3 linked regions of the Caenorhabditis elegans genome follow. The protein of the gene in region 1 interacts with the protein of each later gene in a pairwise test. Each region holds a gene or a part of one and is shown in the gene's direction. Other genes may lie near its edges.

Region 1 (7,872 bases):
TTTTGCAACAAAATTTTTTTTGTGATAATTTTGAAACAGTAATTTTTTTTCAATTTTTTTTTTCAAATTCTATAAAAATATTTCTCGCAGTTGTTTTTCATTCTATTTCGTTCCAATCAAAAAATTCTGCGATCTCTTGTTCAACATCGTTTTCTCTGATCATAATCTCAACACAAGCAGCTTTTCCTCCATGTATTTTTCGAGATGTGACGCCTTTACAGGGAGGGCGTTTGATCTCTACAAAAGCGTGAGCTACTTAGTGGGGCCAGAAAAGTGCAATTTACTTGCATAAGAGTAACAACAAAAATCATAGCGACCCCCCGCCTGCCCGGCTGTATCTCGATCACGGATCTTTTGAGTAACATCAGTTCCAATTGAATATCCGTAATTTCCGTAGTATCCGTAGTATCCGTAGGCCGTAGTTTGTAGCAGTAACAATTTTCTGGATAGAAGTTTAAGAAGTAAATCTTAAAACTTGAAATCAAGAAATAAAAATTAATAGTTTAACTTTCGAAGTTTGAATGTCAAAATTTAAAAATTTTTAAAATTTGGAAATTTTTTTCACTGTTTCAAAAATTCCATGAAAATTCCTCGCCGTTTCAAGTGTTAGTAGTAGTTCTGAAAGATCCCAATGAACATTCTGTGACTCGATATCTCCACCTCCAGCAGCAGAATCCGTTCAAATGTGGGATTTCTGCATTTACCGTGTTTTTCTTATCTAACTCGGCGGATCTAACCTTTATTCACACGTACATTCAAGAATTCAGTATTTGTAGTAAGTGTAGTTGGTGAGAAATTAACTGAAAAATTAACGAAATCCGATCTTATTTTAAGTTTTCCAAAAAAAAAAATTACTGTTTTAAAATTTATTATAAGGAAACGGTGATTTTTTCGACAATTTTTCAATCCAATTTATTTCCAATTTATTTAACTGTTCTGAATCTTAATATAAACCATGTCGCTGGAAAATATAACAATTTTATGTGCAGTTGCAATAACTAAAATTTCCAAAAAAATTTGTTTTCCGCATTTTTCTAAGTTCAAGCTTGATTTCTCATTAATGGTCGCATCTTGTTCCTGTTACAGCCAGAAACCTAAACTTTTTTCACAATTTGTTACCTGTTTGGAATGTTAATATAAATTTCGCTAAAATATATATTTAAATCTGTTGAACTGCCGTTCCCGCCAAAATTGACCAATTTTAACTTTTCGGAAAAAAAATACTGTTTCAAAATTGCATGTTCCTAATTTCAACTTTCATTTCTCAATAACTTCGGTTCTTTTTTTTCCTGTTACAGTCAAGAAACTTCCCAAAAAATCCCTCAAGATATTCATCTCCCGTGCTTCGGCCTCTTTCTACCTTGAAACTCCTACATACGCCCTTAATACGAACTGTGTCTAGTTTAATACACTCGTTATTCCCTTCCATTGCATTTCCTCATCTTCACTTCATTCTGGATCGTTTTTGATTGGGATCTGAAGCTGCGTGGAAACTGGCTTTTTCGATGAAAACGTGATCGAATTTCTGCATTAAGAATCACTGATTAAAATTTTCAATTTACAGGTTCTAATTGTACTCTTTTTTTTTTGGAAATTTTTTTCACTGTTTCAAAAATGTTTCTTCTAAACTTTTCAACAAAACCTCACTGATTAAACTTCGTCCAACATTTTCCGACAGTTTTCTCTCCATATATACTTTTAATCTTTCGGTTCCCTCTGCGCACGTGAAAAATAATCGTATTAAACAGATTTCGTATGCAAAACTTTTCCATAATTTTTTCAAAAATCACAATTTTGGCTTCTCTCTTTCCAATTTACTATACAATTTCTCCGCAAATTTTTAAAGAAATTCCTCTTTTTTCAGACTTCATCTCACTTTCATTGCCAAATCATCAAAAAGAAGCCATTTTTGGTTGGAGCTCGTGTGGCTCAACAATCAAAAAAAAATATTATTTTGTGGAGCTGGTCATTGGTAAGTTCGTGTTTTTTTTGTTGCAAACATATTTAGCCACTTGAGGTGTCTAGGAAAACCGGTGAAGATGTTTGTATAATGTTAGTCGGAAGCACAAAATTAGTGCAAATGACGTGGCGGAGGAAACGGAAAAAATTCAAAATTTTGGACTTTGGAAAAAATTAACTGTTTCAAAACATTTTGAAATTTACACAGAGAGCATTGTTTTTTTTTATAAACAAAACTTAAGTTTGAAAATTGCAATAATTTTCGTCGCTTCTTGTAGCTTGGCTGACAACCACAAAGTTTTGGTTTCAAAAATATTTTACTGTTTCAAAAAGTTCTGAAATTCACAAATAAATGTTTGTTTTTGCTATGATATCGCCCTGTATTGGTCCCAATAAACTAAACTATTCTGATTAAAAAATTTTCAACTGTTTCAAAATTTTGAAAAAAGTTCCATTTTTTTTAAGTGTTTGCTCTATTCTTTCTTTAAAAGTTTCACCTTATTGTACATTTTGTAGACACATTTTGTAGACTACAAAGGCTACGTGTTTGCCAGTTCTTTCACTTTTTGCCGTGTCACTTGTTAGTCATTTCTTACAAGAAATGGGAACTTTTCTGTTTCACAATGTCTTTTTCTTTTAAAAAAGTTTGAGCTTCAGCTGAAAAGAAGCTGAAAATTTTTGTTCCTGCTTCAAAGAGAAAAACACTGAAACTTTGAGCTTTTTGTTGTCAATTTACTCGGCGATCTTTAAAGAGACGAAGAAAAAGAAGAAATGTTTTGTCTGGCGGTTGTGTTCTCTGTTTTTGCGGGTCCCCCAACTCCAGTTTTTTGATCACTTATTTTTCCTATTTTTTTGAATCATTTTTCTTGACTTTTTCTAGATTTTTCTTCTCTGGAAAAGTCACAGAATGATGATGATAAAGTTTGTGATCAAAAACACACTTTTCGACCTCTTCAGTCATTCAACCCGGTTAGTGGGAGGAGGTGGAGAGTAGGTCAAATATTTGCACACCCCGCCTAAACTTTGTACCGCCCAATTTTATGTTCATTTTCTGTGTGCCGTGTGTAGTAGAGGAGGAGCAACAAAGAACCGAACTTACGGAACTTTGTACCTATGGAATTGATGTGTTTTGTATTAATTTCTATATTTTTTAAATTCTGTCGAAAGCACTTTGAACTTTGTGAACTTTTCATATTTTTATTTTGAAACAGTAATTTTTTTCTTCAAAATTTGAAATTTCAAAAATTCGAATTCAAAATTTTAATAAGATTTTAAAAATCTACATAAATATTTTTTGTTGAAAAATGATGAACCTACTTCGTTGGTAATAGCAAAAAAAAAAGAGTCCACAACATTTTTAATGCATATTTTGAAACAGTGAAAAATTTCACTGTTTTTAAATTTTTACGTATACATAACCGCAACATAATTTTTGATTTGTATTTCTTATTAGGAGTAAATTGTTATTTTTAGTCAGTAATCAAATTCATATGCCAAATTTCACAAAATTTACAGTGAAAGTGTTATTAAATTTCAAAATTTGAAACCGTAATTTTCCTGTCGTTCTACAAGTAGTATGCCTCTACTTTGAAATAATCAAACATTTTCCGTGAAACAGTAACTTTTTTTCGATTTTTAAAATTTTTGCAAATCCTTTACTGATGTGAGTTTTTTTATTACTAATAGAATCACATAAATATTACAGTTCCAGTTTTAAAACTCTTAAACATTTTCTGTGAAACAGTAAATTTTCATTAAGAATTCCAATTTTCAAAAATCATCTACAGTAACCTAGTTATCTCCATCTAAACGCTTATTTCCTTGTCTGAAAATGTCTTAATTTACTTCCTCTAGATATTTTCTACTTATTTTGCACAACCATCCTCTCATTTCCGTGTTCTGCTTCTTCTGTTTTGTGCTCCGTTCGCCTGGTCATCTATTTCTCTCTGTGTGTGTTCTAGATCACAATTTGTGTTGTGTTCTCCAGTGTCTCTGCTGCTTCGCGTTAGCATGTTTTTCACCCAATTTTTGAGCTTTTCGAGCCCAGACTAGTAGACCCCGAGTGATCTTCGAACACCCCCCTGTGTGTGTGTGTTCCCCGCATATGTGATTATTGAACCACTAGGGACTGGAAAAATAGGAACGAGGAAGCTGGAACACACACCCATCGAGTGTGTTTTTTTTCGAATGGGAAAAAAAAAAGAAATTACATATTTTTTTCTCTTACTCTCTTGTAGGTCCCTTTGTAACTTCCGCTTTGACCCTTGGAGCTCCTCCTCCATTTTTGTCACTATTCCTGATCAGTCTTCATGATTTTAGGTTAGCTAAGGTTAAGCTCTTGTGGATTACTGTAGTACTCTTGGAATATATATGTCTTGAAGAAAAATTACTGTTTCATTATTTTCACAAGTTTATACAGTGATCATGTTGCATCAATTTGCTGTGTGCATCTAGCAGAATTACTGTGAATCATTAAATTCAGTAAGACAATTAGATTTTTTTCGAAATTTCGGGAGCTTCATTATGTAAATCATAACTAGCCAACGAATATTCAAGTTTTGAAACACTAATTTTTAAAATTTATTGAAATTTTTTAATATTTCAATTTTCTGTTTCTAGAGGTCTGTTTTTTACACATATTTTAAACTTAAAAAATTAAAAGAATTCCTGTTTCACGCTGTTCGTAAGAAGTCTTACTTTGAAAAATCTTTTGCTCTCCTTCCGTACATATCTCAAATTCCCAATTCTTTCAGTAAAATGAGCCCACACATCATCGCTACTGTAACCATCGACGACGAGCATCATCATCATCATCACCGCAGCAACGAGAACTACTCTCCATCATCCCAAGACATGGACTCCCCAAAGCCAAAGGGACGCATCCTTTACTGCCGAAAGTGCGAAGGACACGGCGAGAAGGTGATCCTCAAGAATCACTCACCACAGTGCCCATATATTCTGTGCAATTGCAAATCGGTAAGTTCTAGAAGAGTCTGGGAGCTATTTTGTTTTCAAATTTTCAAATTTTAGTGCGAGAAGCTAAACTACAAGCGCCTGAAGTCGTTCAACAAGAGAAATAAGGAAAAGATCGAGTTGGCAGCAGCTCTGAATGCAAAGAGACATGCTCCAGAATCCGGATCCAGTGTTGACGATGAAGAAGGTGAGCTTTTCCCTGATCTCTGTCTCCTACTCCTTCACTATCAAATTAGAATCCATATAGTACCCATAGATCTCTGATTTCTCAGTTGTGTTTTGGCGCTTACTCCCTAGTTCCCCCACAAATATGCATAACTTCCGTCTAGATTTCCACAAAAATGTACTCGGTTGTTTTGTTCGTTTCTCGTACGCGATCGAAAATCTCTGTATGACTAACAACGTAGACAGCAGAACCACTGAAAGATCAAGTGTTATTTCAAAACTATTTTGGAGTTTGCGATGATGTTTCATATTTGTTAGATATTTTGGAAAGGACATGATCTTTTGATTTCAAGAGTTTACTACAAAATTCGATCCCATGACATTCACTTTTCAAAAACAAAGCAACTATTTGCCCAACTTTTGCAAAAAAGTAGACTGTAGGTACCGGTACTAGACTAATCTTTTGATAGTGTTATCAGTTTTTTTCCTTTATACCATTACAAAAATCACCTGATTCTTGCGCTTTCTGATCGTTCCAGTGTAATTCGTCGCACTTTTGGAACGCCGCAATAACAAAATTCTATATTCAGAACAAGTGTTCTTAGATCGCTGAAAATTCTATTTCCTAGTTCCATCCCTCGAATCTACGAATCTTGTTTTCGTCGTCTTGATATATACAAAAATGTGTGTCCTGATCGACTCGAACCCTCCACTGACCTTTTTGTTTTGCTCATTCGCCATCTACTTGTTTTTAGTACATTCCAGCAACTCTTTCTCCTCCTCCCCCCCCCCCTTTCATCCCTTCTCTTCGGTCGCTTCAGGACCTTGCACTCTTTCTCATTGCGTCTGCACACTCTCATCACATCTGTACTATTTCTCGTTTGCCCTGTCTGATTTTCGCAACTACTAGTCTACTCGGTTCTCATCGTCCTCTCGTTTTTCCACGTTTTTTCACATTTTAAGGCACACACACACACACAGAGAGGATGACGAAAAGGCGCTCACATTTTCAGTACACAATCACTTTTCTGTGTATGTGTTTGTGTGCCCAGCCTCCCGAGGACGACTGTCTCTTCTGTTATTCGCGAATATTTCAGGCATTTCGTCTAGTCTTCATTTTCATTTTTATGTATTATAATTTCGGTTCTGTCTTCAAAAAATTGAGCTAAACTCCTTGGAACGTCTTCCGTTTTGAGTTTTAGCTCCCTGGTTTGATCCCTTATGCAGCCCGTCTACGATCTTTTTGCATTTGATTATACGTAATTATTTTCTCTCTCTCTCTCCTTTTCATTTTTCACAATTTTCCCACTCAATTTATCTGTCTACAAAGTTATGCTTTGGTGTCTCAATGACTCACGACGGTTGGCACATATCTCGTGTCAGTTCAAAATAATAGCAATTATCATTTGAATATCCGCTGACCGATGGTTAGATTGAGCACGTATGCGCGTATGCTGGCCAAACAGAAATAGAAATTCCAAGTATGTGTCTGGAGCCGCCGGCTCGACTGTAAACAGATTTCCGTCACTTTTCTTGTTCTCAATTTTCGATGTCTACATATAAATGAATAGAGATTAGAAATCATCAAAATGGCGTTGACGTAGGCAAATGGTGAATCACATTAGCTCACATTACGTATGATCCCTGTGTTTTGGTGTGCTGCTCTTTCATATACATTTTTTTTCATTTCTCTCTCTCTCTCTCTCTCTCTCTCTCTCTCTCTCTCTCTCTCTCTCTCTTTTCTAATAGGACTGAATCAGTGGGAGTAAGTGTACACAGACTATGAAAAAATAATGTAAAAAAGGTGAGCAACACACCAGTCGCACCAAATAGTGAAGGATTTAAAGATCACCGAATTTCTATTCGCGTCTCTTTCTTCTTCCTCTCTCTCTCTCAACATGTTTCGTCTCCCATTTCACTCCGTCGTAAGCCGGCGGCATTATCCAGTGCGAGACTCCTTTCCCAAGTACGGAACCCTTGTGTCCCTCTACTGATCTTTATCCGGCACCTAGTACCTGTCCTATATACCCACACTCGGGGCCCCCCGAGAGAAAGAAAGATGCATTCGATTTTCTATTGTTTCTCATTCTGCAGTGAAACGCGAAACACTTTCCATTTTCTTCTTTTCCAACACATACACACACACAATATGTTCCAATTCAATATTTCGAAACTTTTCAGGCTTCTCCCGCCGTTCCTCATTCTGCTCAAAAACTTCAACACCAGACATGGACTCGGAGACGAGAACCTCATCGGTAAGTATTCTCCACCTAAACTAGACTCTTGTTTTGCACTTCATATGTGTAAGGCATCTGTCAATAGCTAGCTGGCTTTCTTTCTCTGAAATCGCGGTTTCTTAGGAAAATATTCTAGTCTGCTCATAGCTCTCACGCGCACCTTGACCTAACAGCTGCATGAGAAGAAGACGTCGACGACAGAACCAGTGAGAGAGGGAAAATTCTGATCTTATGGTTTTTAATCTGCTCCTGCTCCAAAGCATGCGCTCTCTCTCTCTCTCTCTCTCTTCGCACGCTGCTCTGGCTCCCTCCTCACGCAGCGGCGCTCACATTTTGTCAGAATAGGCGGAGCAGGTGCGCGAGCCCTGTTATTACTTTATCTTCTCATACTCTTGAGCTCATTTCCAATCTCATGCTCAACTATATTCCATTTCAGACGACTCCTATCACTCGTTCCAACTCCACAATGCCCACAGCTAATGGTCTTGAAGGACGAAGTGGCTCACTTGGGCACATGACAGTCATGTCCTATGATATT
Region 2 (7,677 bases), on another chromosome or scaffold:
CATCAATTCTCCATAGATGATGCCCTTTTCAGATAGCGGAAAACCCCGCATCATCATCATCTCACACTTCTCCGGATAGATAGATAAAGATATATCCAAGTGTTACAAAGGTGTGAAGACCCCCAAAAGTTGACATCGGCGCGTGGCCCTTAATTATGACCGCATACCACTTCAAACGATACCGCCACCGTTTCTTCGTCCCCCTGATAACATGGTCCCAGATTATCAGGAAAATGGTGTAAGACAACCTTGCGCAATCCGGGAAGATGAAGAAGGAAATGATGATGTGACACGTGCCGAAAAAGAAATTGGGCCCTACTTGTTGATTGGGTAATGCACGTGTAGTTTTCAGGTGTTTTCGGTATTAAAAGGCTATTTGTATGGGGTAATAAAGGATTAATGACTAGGATTATTTCACATTATTTCACATATTTTCACGTTTTGTTTCTAACTGAAACTCACAAATAATTCTCCAATTGTGTAGTTTAGAATAGATTTATATCTTTAGACACCGTCGGTAAACAACTAAAAATACCATTATTCATCTCAATGACATAAACTTTCCCAACACGAGCCCTCCCAAACACCGACTCGCTAATTGCGAGCAATTTATTGATTGACAGTTCGCGGATGAACTTGTTTTGCACATTGTAGATCGAGATAAGACAAGTAGGTTCTTAAGTCGGGCCGACACAAAACAGATAGGTCTAAAAGAACGTCTGAAATTGAATAATCAGATAAGACAGAGTAAAGGGATACTGAAAAAAGAATAGTTATAGAAATACTTGAAAATCTGAATGAATAGAGGTGACAACTATTTTTCCAAACTTACAACTAACACTGGTCTCAAATTACAGATACATATATATGTTAGTTTTTTCAGATTTCAAATTAACCTACCCGTAGGCTGGTAGGCAAGAATGTAGTCGATCTTTGCAAAGTCATATCTTTAAATTTCTCATTGGAAATATTTGTACCGTATCCTCGAAGCACTTTTCCTCCTGACCTCTTTTGTTTGTAAAATATGTTTACACTTTTGAACACTGGAAATGAAAATGGGGAAATTGGTCATTGCCAACAAGTTACACTACTCTCGAAAGTTGTCTGTTTGTTCTATCTGTTCTTGTTTCCGTGAAATTGCAACTTTTGGAATATGTATGTTTTTGGTAATCAGAAAATTATTTTTGTGTTAGGTAAGTCCAACAAATCACATAATCGAAAAAGCAAACAAAGAAAGTAAACTTTGTCTGAAATCCATTAAGAAGCTGTTTTCAAATATTAGTAGCATGAATAATTCTAACGCTGTTTAAGCTTTTAATGGACATGAACGATTTTTAAAGTTTTGAAGTATTCGTTTCTGGTTCCAGTTTCATGTTAGAGTTACTTCTAGCTTCACCCAGAAGCACGGTGGACTGCTTAGATCTATGTAGCTATCTGCAAATATTTTGAATCTGCAAGATCCGCACGCTCCTAGATGTCCTTTTCTTCGAGACTATCCACAGGTGAATCACCATTTTGCAGGTGCTACTACCAAACATTGACCTTTCAAATCAAAACCATCGAGCACATAAATCTTCATCTCCAAAAATCCACCTCCTAGTCAGAATATCTCTGATAACAAACCCACATACCCCGCGCCAACATCTACTAGTACGTCCTTTGATGCTTACCGCCCGTGTCTTTCGCCCTTCTCTATGTCTCGCTGGTTTCGATTACCGTACTCGAGACTATGCATGCCTGTAACAGACCGCGCATGCGCATAGGTGGGCGGGATCGCCGTCCCGCCCATTCACAGTTCGACAAGGCGTGTCACCTCGAAACTACTCGCTCCTTAAGTTTTCACGCTATATACCTGATATTCACACATTCGGTATATTGGGGGCCAGCCATACGTGCTCCTGATATCCCATCCACTACTAACAAAATGACCACAGATTCTATCACATTTAATCACATTCTTGGGCAGGTAAGTCTATGGTTTCGATAAGTTGTTTTCTAGTTGTAGTGCATAAACTACTGCTCAGGTATTTTTTAATGTCTAGAAGTAGGAGATGTATCCCGGAAAAATTTGATTGAAGAAATTTTTGGAAATTCTAGATGGTTCTAGAATGTACGTTAATTTCGAATTATTTCTATACTGGCTCAGACGTTTTAAGGAGCTAAAATTAAGCTCTTGTTAATTATACAGTTTGAAGTTGTAGCCTATAGAAACTTTTGATTTATTGTTAATAGAGCTCATCAAGCATCACAAAAATTAGATAGTATCATTACTATAGTTAGCCTTAAGTTAGATTTTCATAGCATTTGAAAAGTTTTTGAAAATATGTTTTGAGTTTTCCAAGTCTCAATTTCTTCTCCTTTCTCACCGCCTCTATTGAAGCCCAAAATTAATTCAGGGTCGTGTTAACCAACTCGGTGGAGTTTTCATCAACGGTCGACCCCTTCCAATTCACGTTCGTCATGCTATCATTTCAATGGCCAAAAAGGGTATAAAGTAAGTAGTCCGAACTTCTAGAGAACACTAACAATAATCTTTTAGACCATGTCACATCAGTCGTCAACTCAAAGTATCTCATGGAGCTGTTTCGAAAATCTTGAATCGTTACGCCGAGACGGGCTCAATATCTCCGGGACAGGTCAGTGCATTTTCTGGATGATAAGATAATTTGCTAATTAGGTCATCAGGCAGGCGAATCATAACCATAAAATTTAATGTTTGCCTACACGTGCCGCGTGTCGTCGTCCTGATTCAAAAAAGTACCGTAATACTCAATTTTGGCGGGTCGCGCAGGTGCGACGCCCCGGGTGGCACTTTTCGGCATTTTTCAAAAAATGCGTCGGATGTCTGTGTTTCTGTTAAAGTAGTTGTTGTCTACTAGGTTTTTGGTTACCAAAAACATACGGTAATTACAATTCCAAAAAAAGTAAACTTTGAATTCTTGAAAATTCCATTTTGTTGGTTGCAAAACGGCAAAGAGTGTAGAACGGGGAGTGCAAATATACAAAACAATTTTTATTCATTTATAAACTTTAAAATCATCTCAAAAACAACCTGAAACTTTCCAAGAACTGATATCAAAACGTTTTCGGCAAATGACAACTTTGAAACAGTTTTTGAAATTTTTCTCGACTATTTCAATGCAAATAACTGATATTTTCAAACTGATCAAATATTTTTCTATCTATATTTCTACATTTAATTTAATAAAAAAAAGAGTTATAATCTGGGATTGGGCAGTTTTGTAGATTTGCCGAAAATATTCGTCATATTTCTTACATAAGCCTAGCGAAAGCAAATGCTTTTTAAACATAAATATCTATGAATTAATTTCAGATCGGTGGAAGTCCCCGCGCTCGACTTACAGTCCAAGCCGTCGAGAAAGAAATTCTGATCGCATGTGATGAGAATCCACAAATGAGCGCTGCAGAGCTCCGAGATTGGCTTATTCACAAAGACATTTGCACAAAAGGAAATGCTCCAACAGTACCTGCGATAAAAAGGCTTATTGGGAATAAAGGTATAATAATGATGAAAACTGTGAAGGCAAAAAAAAGGTAGAGGAATAGATGAAAAACAAACAGAAATTCGTTTCGTTTGATGAATGTTCCGCTTCTGATAGCTGTGGTTGTGTTTGTTTAACTGTTGACAACGATTTTTTTTGTTTCGAATACTTTCATGGAAACTTGCTTGGGCGTCATTTTTTGATGCGTGATTTTCCACAAAAATTCAACAAACCTCACAAGAAGAACTTCTAGACATATTCGATCAAATTATCACTTTCTATAACCTCATCAATCATTTCTTCACGCCAATCATATCATCTTTTTTGCTGCACTTTTTCATCATATCTTCCTTATCACTTTTTTTTGTTTTAATTTCCTTATCAATATTTATCTTCACACAAATCACCACATACTTTTTTGCAGGCGTCGGGGTTCCGAAGAAAATGGAACGAAAACGGCTGAGCTACAGTATCGACAGCATTCTGGGAATTTCAATTGGTAAGTGGTCTAATTGGAATAGTCTTGATTTCACACATTTATAATTTCGTTCCGTTTGTCTCATGTCCTCCAACACCTTTTTTGGGTGTCGGATTTCCTGTTCAATCAGGCAACATTCCGTTCTTTCAATTCAATTTTCTTCTGCCATATAGTAACACACAAACAGACGTAGCATGAAAGTTTTCATTCCTCCCAATATTCCCAAAGGGGCCAGAGGGCATACTGTATATTGGACTTCTTTGATATAATAACGGTCATTAACACTTTGATTAGTATCGCCTGTATGTCGCTGTGTATGTTAACGGTGTGATAAGACGATAAAGGCGAAGACGTTGAAGAAGTGGGGGCGGAAAGGACAAGAAGCGTCGGTGAAGAATGATGTGAATTAGACAAGGGGGCACGCGTCAGGGGTTGATTTTAATCAACAAGACCATCGTATTTGTTTGTGAGTTGCATGCTGTGCGCCGCCACGGAGATCTTCAGGGAGAGAACCATGACTGATTGAATTACGGGTTACGGTAGTGTACCGCATTTTGTTTCTCCTGATCTGCAACAAGCGTACCGGAATGTCCCGCGTGTCTTCAGGCCTACCTGTTAGCTTGCCTACTGCCTATTCGTCTACATCTTGGTGTGAAGTCTAGGGTCTGATGTTGCATTGTGAAGCCTATAGGTAGGTCGCCTTGATGTCCGGTAAGCAGGCACTTTTGATCCTAAAATCTTGTTTGATCTGTGCTCAGTTGTTAATCACATTCGGTAGGGTACGGTAGTTGTGCAAGAAAATCGTAATCTAAAGAAAGAGCATGTCAAATTCCAGGCATCATACGCCTACCTTGTAGGCACGCAGGCAGGCATTTTTATCATGTTCGGCACTCCAAACAGTTTCATTAAATCTTTGTCTGAAAATTCAAGTTTAACAACAGCTTTGAGACTGTTTATATAGAACGAATAAAAGTGAAATTTTTGGTTTTTAAAACTTCCAAAACTTTTAGCCTACTTTTTATAAGAAACTAGACAGCCACAAACTTATGTTTTTGCAAGTTACTTGAATTTCTAGGGGTCATGCCACTACCTCCTGCTGTTTCAACTTCTTGTCTTCCAAAACTTTCAACACTTCCCCTCTCTTCCTGTCCCGTTTTTTCCCGCTTCCTAACTTGTCGTCAATCTTGTCATTCCTTAAATTGTGAACCACCGCTCAACTTCGCACATTTTCGCATACACGTAGCAATTAAGATAGGGGGAGAAGATTTGCGCACTTGATAGGTGCCTATTCAAATAGGTAGGTAGGAGGAGGAGAAAACGATCCAATAAATTCCATATTTTCGCGGCCAATTGATCAGGATGGGCACACGAGTGACTGGCGCGAGAGAAGATTGGGATGCGCGAAAAAAAGCAAACACATGCATACGAACATAATACATATCCGCAATTTAACACATTAAAACTTTGACATTTGACATTTGACAATATGATTGTTAGGGATGTGGGTTACGGTATGTTGCGCAAGATCGTTAGTAGGTGTTGGTCAGCTTGCCTGGAAGGCAGGCAGGCATGACAGATCATTGTGAGCTTGTTTATTATCAAGTTTTTACCGAGTCCGAGTTACCCTCTCTCCACCACAAACCTTGAACCAAAGTTTGAACTCGGCGGTGCGGTAACGTGATTTTTCAGAAATTTCCCGAATTTGTCAGAATACTTCCATGATTTTCCACATGTCTATATTTCTATTACATTCATAAGTAACAAAAATTAATATTTTCCAAAAATAGGTAGCCGTTGAAAACACAACGCAACGACTGATATTTAGGTATCAGAGACTGGAGTGATAAAGTTCCAGGTGAAAAAAGAAATGGAAACAAAAGTTTCTTCTTCCTGGAATACGCTCAGAATACATTGCTCAATGGGAATATATTATAGCACTCCCCCGCGCCGTTCTTAATGAGCATTGGGAATTATAGAACGATATCGTTAAAAACTACAGTATGCTTAAGGGAGAATTCATTTTTGAAAATCTTACTCTACTCGGCAAGTAGCTAAAGTTTTCTGCAGACTATTACCAGAAAGAGGACTAAGTGCGGTAGAAATCTGCTTTGATTTGACAAGAACGGATGAAAAATATTAATGAGATAAAAGATCAAGTTGAGCATCCTTGAAATCGACATTCTTCAAATTAGAACATTGTATAGAAATAACCTTACCTTCCTTCCTTCCGTCACTATAAAATACTCCTGTGACAGAAACCGATTAGCGCACAGCTCATAAAACTTGGATGTGAGAAACGACGGTGATGATGGAGTGATCCGTCAAAAAATGGAACGATAAAAACAAATTAATAGGGTCCATTCCACCACATGATATCTCTTTCTCAAGTACACAAAGGTGTCAAGTCTATAAATTAGAAGAGACACCCCCCCTCCCCCACCCGCAATAGGGTCTCTCCCGATCTTTATCGATTATTTTTAGAGAAGTGTGTCTATGCGAGAGGCCTACGACATGACTGAGACCACCCACTGTGGCGCAACATTATATATAGTAATTGGGCGACTCGACTGGCAGGCCGTAGTCTTTCTCTGTTAGATACCTTACAATTGACTCATTGATTTCCGGATTTTGAGGGAAAATGCTTGATAGGCGGGGGTCTGATTTTGAATTTTTGAAATAGAACGTATGCGGAACTCAAATAATTTTCAGTCTCGAGGCAGGCGAGTCCGGAAGCCTTTCAGAAAGGCATTTCAGCATGCTCATTATTCATTAGAGCCTCCCTGGTATCAAATATATTCTAGTTGCAATAGTTACTTCAACTTTTGACGTCGCATGCTATTGAAAATGTTTGTTATTTTAATTACGCCTGGAACATTTGCCCTTTCGATTTTCAACGGATGAAAAAAATGGCAGATGAAAAATATTAGTTCCACATTTCGAAAGTCTGTATAGAGAGAGGATGTATAGAGTTTGTTAATGAAAATTCAAAAATGCATTCACGTACCCAAAAATGGTAGCTATGATAACCCCTTTCAAAAAAATAATTTTCAGACGAATGCAGCAAATCGTCATCGGATGACGAAGAGGGCTCTTCACCATCAAACGACGCATCGTCTCGTCGAAATCGTACATCATTCACTGCCGAGCAACTAGATGTTCTTGAAAATGCGTTCCGCGCAGACACTTACCCACATGCCAACGCCAGAGAGAGCATTTCCAAGGAGACAGGGCTCAGCGAAGAGAAAATTATGACGTGGTTTTCGAATCGGCGAGCAAGATGTCGGAAAAATATGCCAATGTATCAACAGTACAATGTTCAAGGTTTTGGATCATCTCCGCCGGTTAGTTAGAAATCGAAACTATATATTAGAAAACAAATTACTAAAACTTTGATTTTCAGTCCTACCCAACGCTGCTGCCTTCACCGATGATGTTCCTACCCTCCTACTCAACGAGTCCTCAATTGAATCCGTTATTCTTTCAACACATACTCCAATCAAGTCCCCCATCAAGTCAATCATCTCCGCCATCATCAAGCTAAACGCTTTGAACTTATTTCTGAACTTTCAAATAAAACCTGTGATATTTGAAAGTCGATCAGAAATTGATACACAAATTTAATTTGAAAGTCCAGAATTAATTTTAAAACATTACCTTAAGAATTCACCCATTCTTCCCAAAACTTATCTAAATCTC
Region 3 (4,836 bases), on another chromosome or scaffold:
GCGTTCGACCTTTTTCCCGGATTTTCCACCCAATTTGCATGCGAACCCTCCAGTGGGTGTGGTCTCGGAACCCAATTTCATTAAATGTTAGATCAACCCGAAAGACAACAAATTACGAAAAAAAAAGTGTCATGTAAAAATTGCCGTCGGGATCGTAGTCTCATTCGCCAACCGCTGAATGAACTGATGTTTTTGCCCGACAAAACATACAATTAGCCTTGATGACGGCAAAGTATTAGGTTAACCCAAAAAAAAAAGAAAACGAAGAATCAACAAATGTTGTCATCAGTGTACGCGTACGGGTCGAGTCAGGATCTAGATGGCGAATTCAGGTGATGGGAGGGGGTGTGGGTGACGACGTAAGCAGTTACGTAGTTTTTGTTCTAGTATTGTAAATACGCGTCGTTGGCAAAGGTAAATGATCCTTGACTATCAATTTTAGTCGCAACCGATTTTCTACAAAATCCTTCGGTAATTCTCAAAATAGCGAAAGCATCCCTAATCTGTGCGAAATTTACGCCATACATTATTTTTAGAACATCATGGAAAGATTTTTAGAGGATTAGAAAATATGGTATAAAGCTTACCTGAAATCAGCGACGACTTATTTCAGTGCCACCGTGATTTTTTTGTTGTAAAATTTATAGAACACTGAATATCGTTTTGATATCTCGGAACTGGAGTCTGACGCAGAAATTTTTACCAGCACCTTGCTTACCTACATTGTTATCTGAACGTGTCTAAAGTGTAAAAATTAAGGAATAAGAGAATATCTAGTGATATTTTCATTATTAAATAGAATTTTAAAACAATTATAAAATTTGGGTTCTTATGTATTTTAAGTAACCTAATATATATTTTCATCAAATCACAGCCTAAATAAAATTTTCCTATTGCTAACTGTTTATGTAGATGTCGAGTTTTAGCACATAACCACGGAAATTTCAAACGAAAAATATTAACAATTTCTGAACTAACATGTCCTCAAAATTTGGTAGGATTTATTCTTGATCAAAACTTTTTGTGGAAATATTGAAATATCACGTTTTTCAAATTTTGAACGTTGAATATCAATTATAATTCTAGGAAGTGCATCATCTTTTGTTATTTTGACATCACATTATGAAGCCATTGATTATGTTTTCAAATTTTTTTTTCGAAATCCTAATGGCATTTATCCCCTTATCAAATCACTCATCATTGGGTTGAGATTAGATCAATTCAAGTCACTTCCAGATCATCCGCCCACAATTTAGAAAATCATAAAACTCTCCGAAAATGTTGTTCTGTTCCATTACATTTCACTTCTTAGCATTTTCCTCTAGTTCTTGAGTCACTTAATCTTCAAGGCTTCATTTTTAAAGCTTTATTTTTTCTTTTTTTTTCTTCAAATTTTTTTCATCAGAATAATTATTCAAATCTTTTCAAACCTTTCGTTCTCTAGACATTCGCTTCGGCGGGAAACCTCACATTGTTCATTGAGCAGCCTGATTTCAGGTCCTGTTTAGGAGGACTGACCCACAATCTGTGATATGTGCAACTACTAGCAGGCAGTGCTCGGCAGCTTCCCATGCAGTACACGCGTCAGGTATTTTTTCCATGAGTCTTTTTGAAAATCAAGGTGAGTTTGAAAGTATTTTCTTTTTCTGCGTTTTGGAATGCTCTTTGCATCTGGAGTAGGGTGGAGTACATATTTTGGCTCCATAAAAATATTTAAATTTCAGTTGAACTATCTTGCATATTTTTTCAAATTGAAAAATATATATTATACAGGAAGTTTGCAAATCGTTCCTGAAATCATCTCGATGGAAAATCAAGAAGGCGGATCTCCGAAACAGGTACAGTATCATTGTTTTCTTCTAGTACGTTCTGCCAAACGAACCAACTAAAAACACAACTAGGTTGACCTGAAAAATTGTATCTGTATGGATTTTAGTTTCAAATTACCGTGTTTTATTTTTTTTGCGCAACTTTCTAGTATTACCTTTGACTTCTAATAATGTTAGTACTTCTAATTCTAGTGTTTTGAAAACCTCTATTTATATATGTCTCCAGCTTCTCGACGAGTCTACTATTATTCTAGTGACCGGAATAATTAGCAGGTTAACATTATTCATTCAGAAATATTACTAAAAAGTTCAAAAATTCGGAAGCTATACTAAAACATTTTTGAAAGGCTAATGGTCAAAAATCCTTATTATTTTCTAGTACTCCTCGATTGTGTTTTAAATCCTGTTATTTCAAGGTTTGAACCATTTGTTTGAGCTAAATTTGTTTGCAAAAATTTTATTCATGCTCCCCCCTAATTGAGTTTTTAACAATTTATTTTGATTAAAAAAAGGAATTATTTACCAAAAATTTATTTCAATTAACTTCCTTAAAGTTTTACTCCATAAAATTGAAGAAAATTTCGTAATTTTATAAATGAAACATTTCAACTCCTCAAGAATGGGTTTCGGTATTTGGGTATTTAATGCCTTTATTTTAAAATGTATCTTTGTATGTTTTGAAAAATAGAAACTTGTAGAATATTTTTATAGTTTGGGTTCAGGAAATAATCATTTCGAAGTCTAGCAGGAGAAAATCCATACCACGTTTATTTACAAAATGAAATTAATGAAATTGAGAACATTTAATAAGTACATATGTTTCATCACTTATATGTATAAAAATATTTGGTACTTATTGGTTTTGTTCCCCTAACTAACAAATATTTCTTATTTATTTACTTTAGGACATTGATCAGAAAAGAAAAAGAAACGTAATTTAAAACTGATCAGAAAGCTGATTAAAATCATTGGATAATCTTTTCTAACCAGACGAATGTATACTTTTTGACGTAAGATAGCGTTTTTATCTATCCGATTCTGCAGATTGCGGCCATTCCGTCATTGCTCACTCAACAATCGCTGCCATCAGCGGCAGCGACCGCGTTTCGAAGTCACACGTCAGAAAGCCAAGATGATCTGTCTCCCACAAACTCGTCACGTAAGTTCCAGAATATTTTTGTATTCTTTTGCCGTTCACGTGTAGTGCATCCTCCCAACTGCAACCTAAAATTATTCCCACCCGAATGATGATTGGCCATCTGCTTTGCTCTGTCAATAACGTTTATAACAAAAATTTTCGCTTTTTTCTTCATCTTTTTGTGTGGTTTACTTTGAATGGAATACCCTTCTCATAGTTTATGTAGTACAACTTTCTGTGTTCCATTTGGTTTTTGTTCCCTTTTTGAGCTCTCCTGCAACTCTCCGAAAAACGTATAAATTCTCGGTCTCGCATCCGGACTTTCGCTTGGATAGGTGTGCAATGGGCGCCTCTTTTTTGTCAGTGTAGTTTTTTTTTGTTGTACATAGTAGGGAATGTTTTTTGTTGCTTCTTTTTGATTTCATTCCCGCCATATTTTGCATTGAACATCACAACTCATAAGTGTTCCAGAAGCGCCAACACCAGCTGGCCCAATCGGCGCGTTCCGCTTCTCCGCATTTTTTAACCCTGATATTTTACGTAATCTAAATATTCAGAAGTCTTCTCCACCAAGTGAGACTAATTCAGTTTTTCGCATTTTCTCCTTACCAATTGATTTTCAGACCAACCTTCAGACGACGTTCCACCTCCACAGACATCGCAACCATCATCGGATACCACAGCTGAACCTTTACCTTCACCTGCAGCTACTCGTATTCACCATCCGATACCCGTACAATATAACACAGATCTAATAGCCGCAGCGACATCTGTTAACTCTAACGTTATTCTGGTAGACTGGTTGGGACATCGGGTTTTGGCACGAGTGCCTCCTGGTGTATATCAGCCGGGGTTTGTGAAAACTGCATATGGTAACCGCGATATAATTGTGCAGGTTAGTGGATTTTGAGCACATAAAGAATAAAATAAAGTATTTTCAGTTGGATGATGGTAGAGAAGCTAGATATGACTATGTAACAAGCGAGTTTAACTTGACAATGGTGATTGCCGATCAGGCTCCTAGTCTTTCCGACGTAAGTTTTAATTTTTTGGCGTATAAAGATAACCTCATTTTACTAACAAATAACACTAAAGAAATTTCAAAAATGAAATTTCAAGATACCTTTCCCCATCAGTTAAAATATATTCAAGAACATTTATTACTCTTCATATTTCAGTTAACAACACTTGTCTCAAACACAATTCTGGCAGTACGATTACCACTGGAGAAGTCAGAAACAATTTACAGAACGGCTGAACTTCAATCAAGCAACGGGAATCCGCCGAAATTTATGGTACTAGACTAGATTTCTTGCAAAAACTATGAACTTGCAAGTACATTAATTAATGCCAATTTTTTGCAGGTGAAAGTGACCAACGCAAATTACTCAAGTCTAGTGTCTCGGGCAAATTTGAGATTGCTCCGGCCGCCCTGGTATGAGGATTTAATAAATCCACAACGGGTTTCTAACAGGTAGGGTAAACTTTAAAGAAATATTTTTTGAGTTTATGTTTTCACTTTTTGAAGCTATCAGATAAAAATAGTTTTTGTTTTTGACTCTAATATTGATTAGTCGGACTTGATTTTTCAAATGATAACTGAAATGCAAATTACTCAGTTTTTAGAAAGCATTTCATTTTAAAGTTTTTAAGCAGCAGTATTCAATAAAATTTTCCAGTGTACCAACATCTTCAATGTCCTTACCTAGCACAAGCGAAGACGGCCGACAAAACACAAATTCGCAAGACAACGTTACTTTATTGATGGCTCTGCAACAACAGCAGCGGCGTTCACAGCAATTACAACATGTCATTAATATCACTCCCATGTAAGTTACTTGCAATTTTTGAAAATGTCAGATTTCTCAT

What was found. Proteins that work in one complex are often made in the same cells at the same time.
Region 2: the proteins of dmd-6 (region 1) and pax-3 interact in a two-hybrid assay, tested with the Caenorhabditis elegans proteins (one large-scale study listed by BioGRID).
Region 3: the proteins of dmd-6 (region 1) and gei-3 interact in a two-hybrid assay, tested with the Caenorhabditis elegans proteins (one large-scale study listed by BioGRID).

What each region holds. Positions count from the first base shown.
Region 1 is NC_003282.8:14,614,739-14,622,610, forward strand, and holds the start of dmd-6 (DM domain-containing protein), read left to right. Parts: upstream 1-1,864; 5' UTR 1,865-1,972; intron 1,973-2,325; exon of another isoform or gene 2,326-2,346; intron 2,347-2,431; exon of another isoform or gene 2,432-2,452; intron 2,453-2,617; exon of another isoform or gene 2,618-2,638; intron 2,639-3,268; exon of another isoform or gene 3,269-3,289; intron 3,290-3,395; exon of another isoform or gene 3,396-3,416; intron 3,417-3,509; exon of another isoform or gene 3,510-3,533; intron 3,534-3,637; exon of another isoform or gene 3,638-3,658; intron 3,659-4,395; exon of another isoform or gene 4,396-4,416; intron 4,417-4,459; exon of another isoform or gene 4,460-4,480; intron 4,481-4,673; exon of another isoform or gene 4,674-4,694; intron 4,695-4,712; 5' UTR 4,713-4,716; coding exon 4,717-4,935; intron 4,936-4,989; coding exon 4,990-5,119; intron 5,120-5,443; exon of another isoform or gene 5,444-5,464; intron 5,465-6,785; exon of another isoform or gene 6,786-6,842; intron 6,843-7,278; coding exon 7,279-7,352; intron 7,353-7,770; coding exon 7,771-7,872.
Region 2 is NC_003280.10:10,144,924-10,152,600, forward strand, and holds the start of pax-3 (Paired box protein 3 homolog), read left to right. Parts: upstream 1-1,646; 5' UTR 1,647-1,924; coding exon 1,925-1,966; intron 1,967-2,396; coding exon 2,397-2,494; intron 2,495-2,539; coding exon 2,540-2,636; intron 2,637-3,334; coding exon 3,335-3,518; intron 3,519-3,927; coding exon 3,928-4,002; intron 4,003-7,032; coding exon 7,033-7,322; intron 7,323-7,381; coding exon 7,382-7,522; 3' UTR 7,523-7,677. UniProt on the Caenorhabditis elegans protein: Transcriptional activator. Regulates the lateral/ventral epidermal cell fate decision.
Region 3 is NC_003284.9:12,810,609-12,815,444, reverse strand, and holds the start of gei-3 (HMG box domain-containing protein), read left to right. Parts: upstream 1-1,805; coding exon 1,806-1,838; intron 1,839-2,873; coding exon 2,874-2,988; intron 2,989-3,438; coding exon 3,439-3,540; intron 3,541-3,590; coding exon 3,591-3,862; intron 3,863-3,908; coding exon 3,909-4,001; intron 4,002-4,145; coding exon 4,146-4,262; intron 4,263-4,331; coding exon 4,332-4,441; intron 4,442-4,646; coding exon 4,647-4,796; intron 4,797-4,836.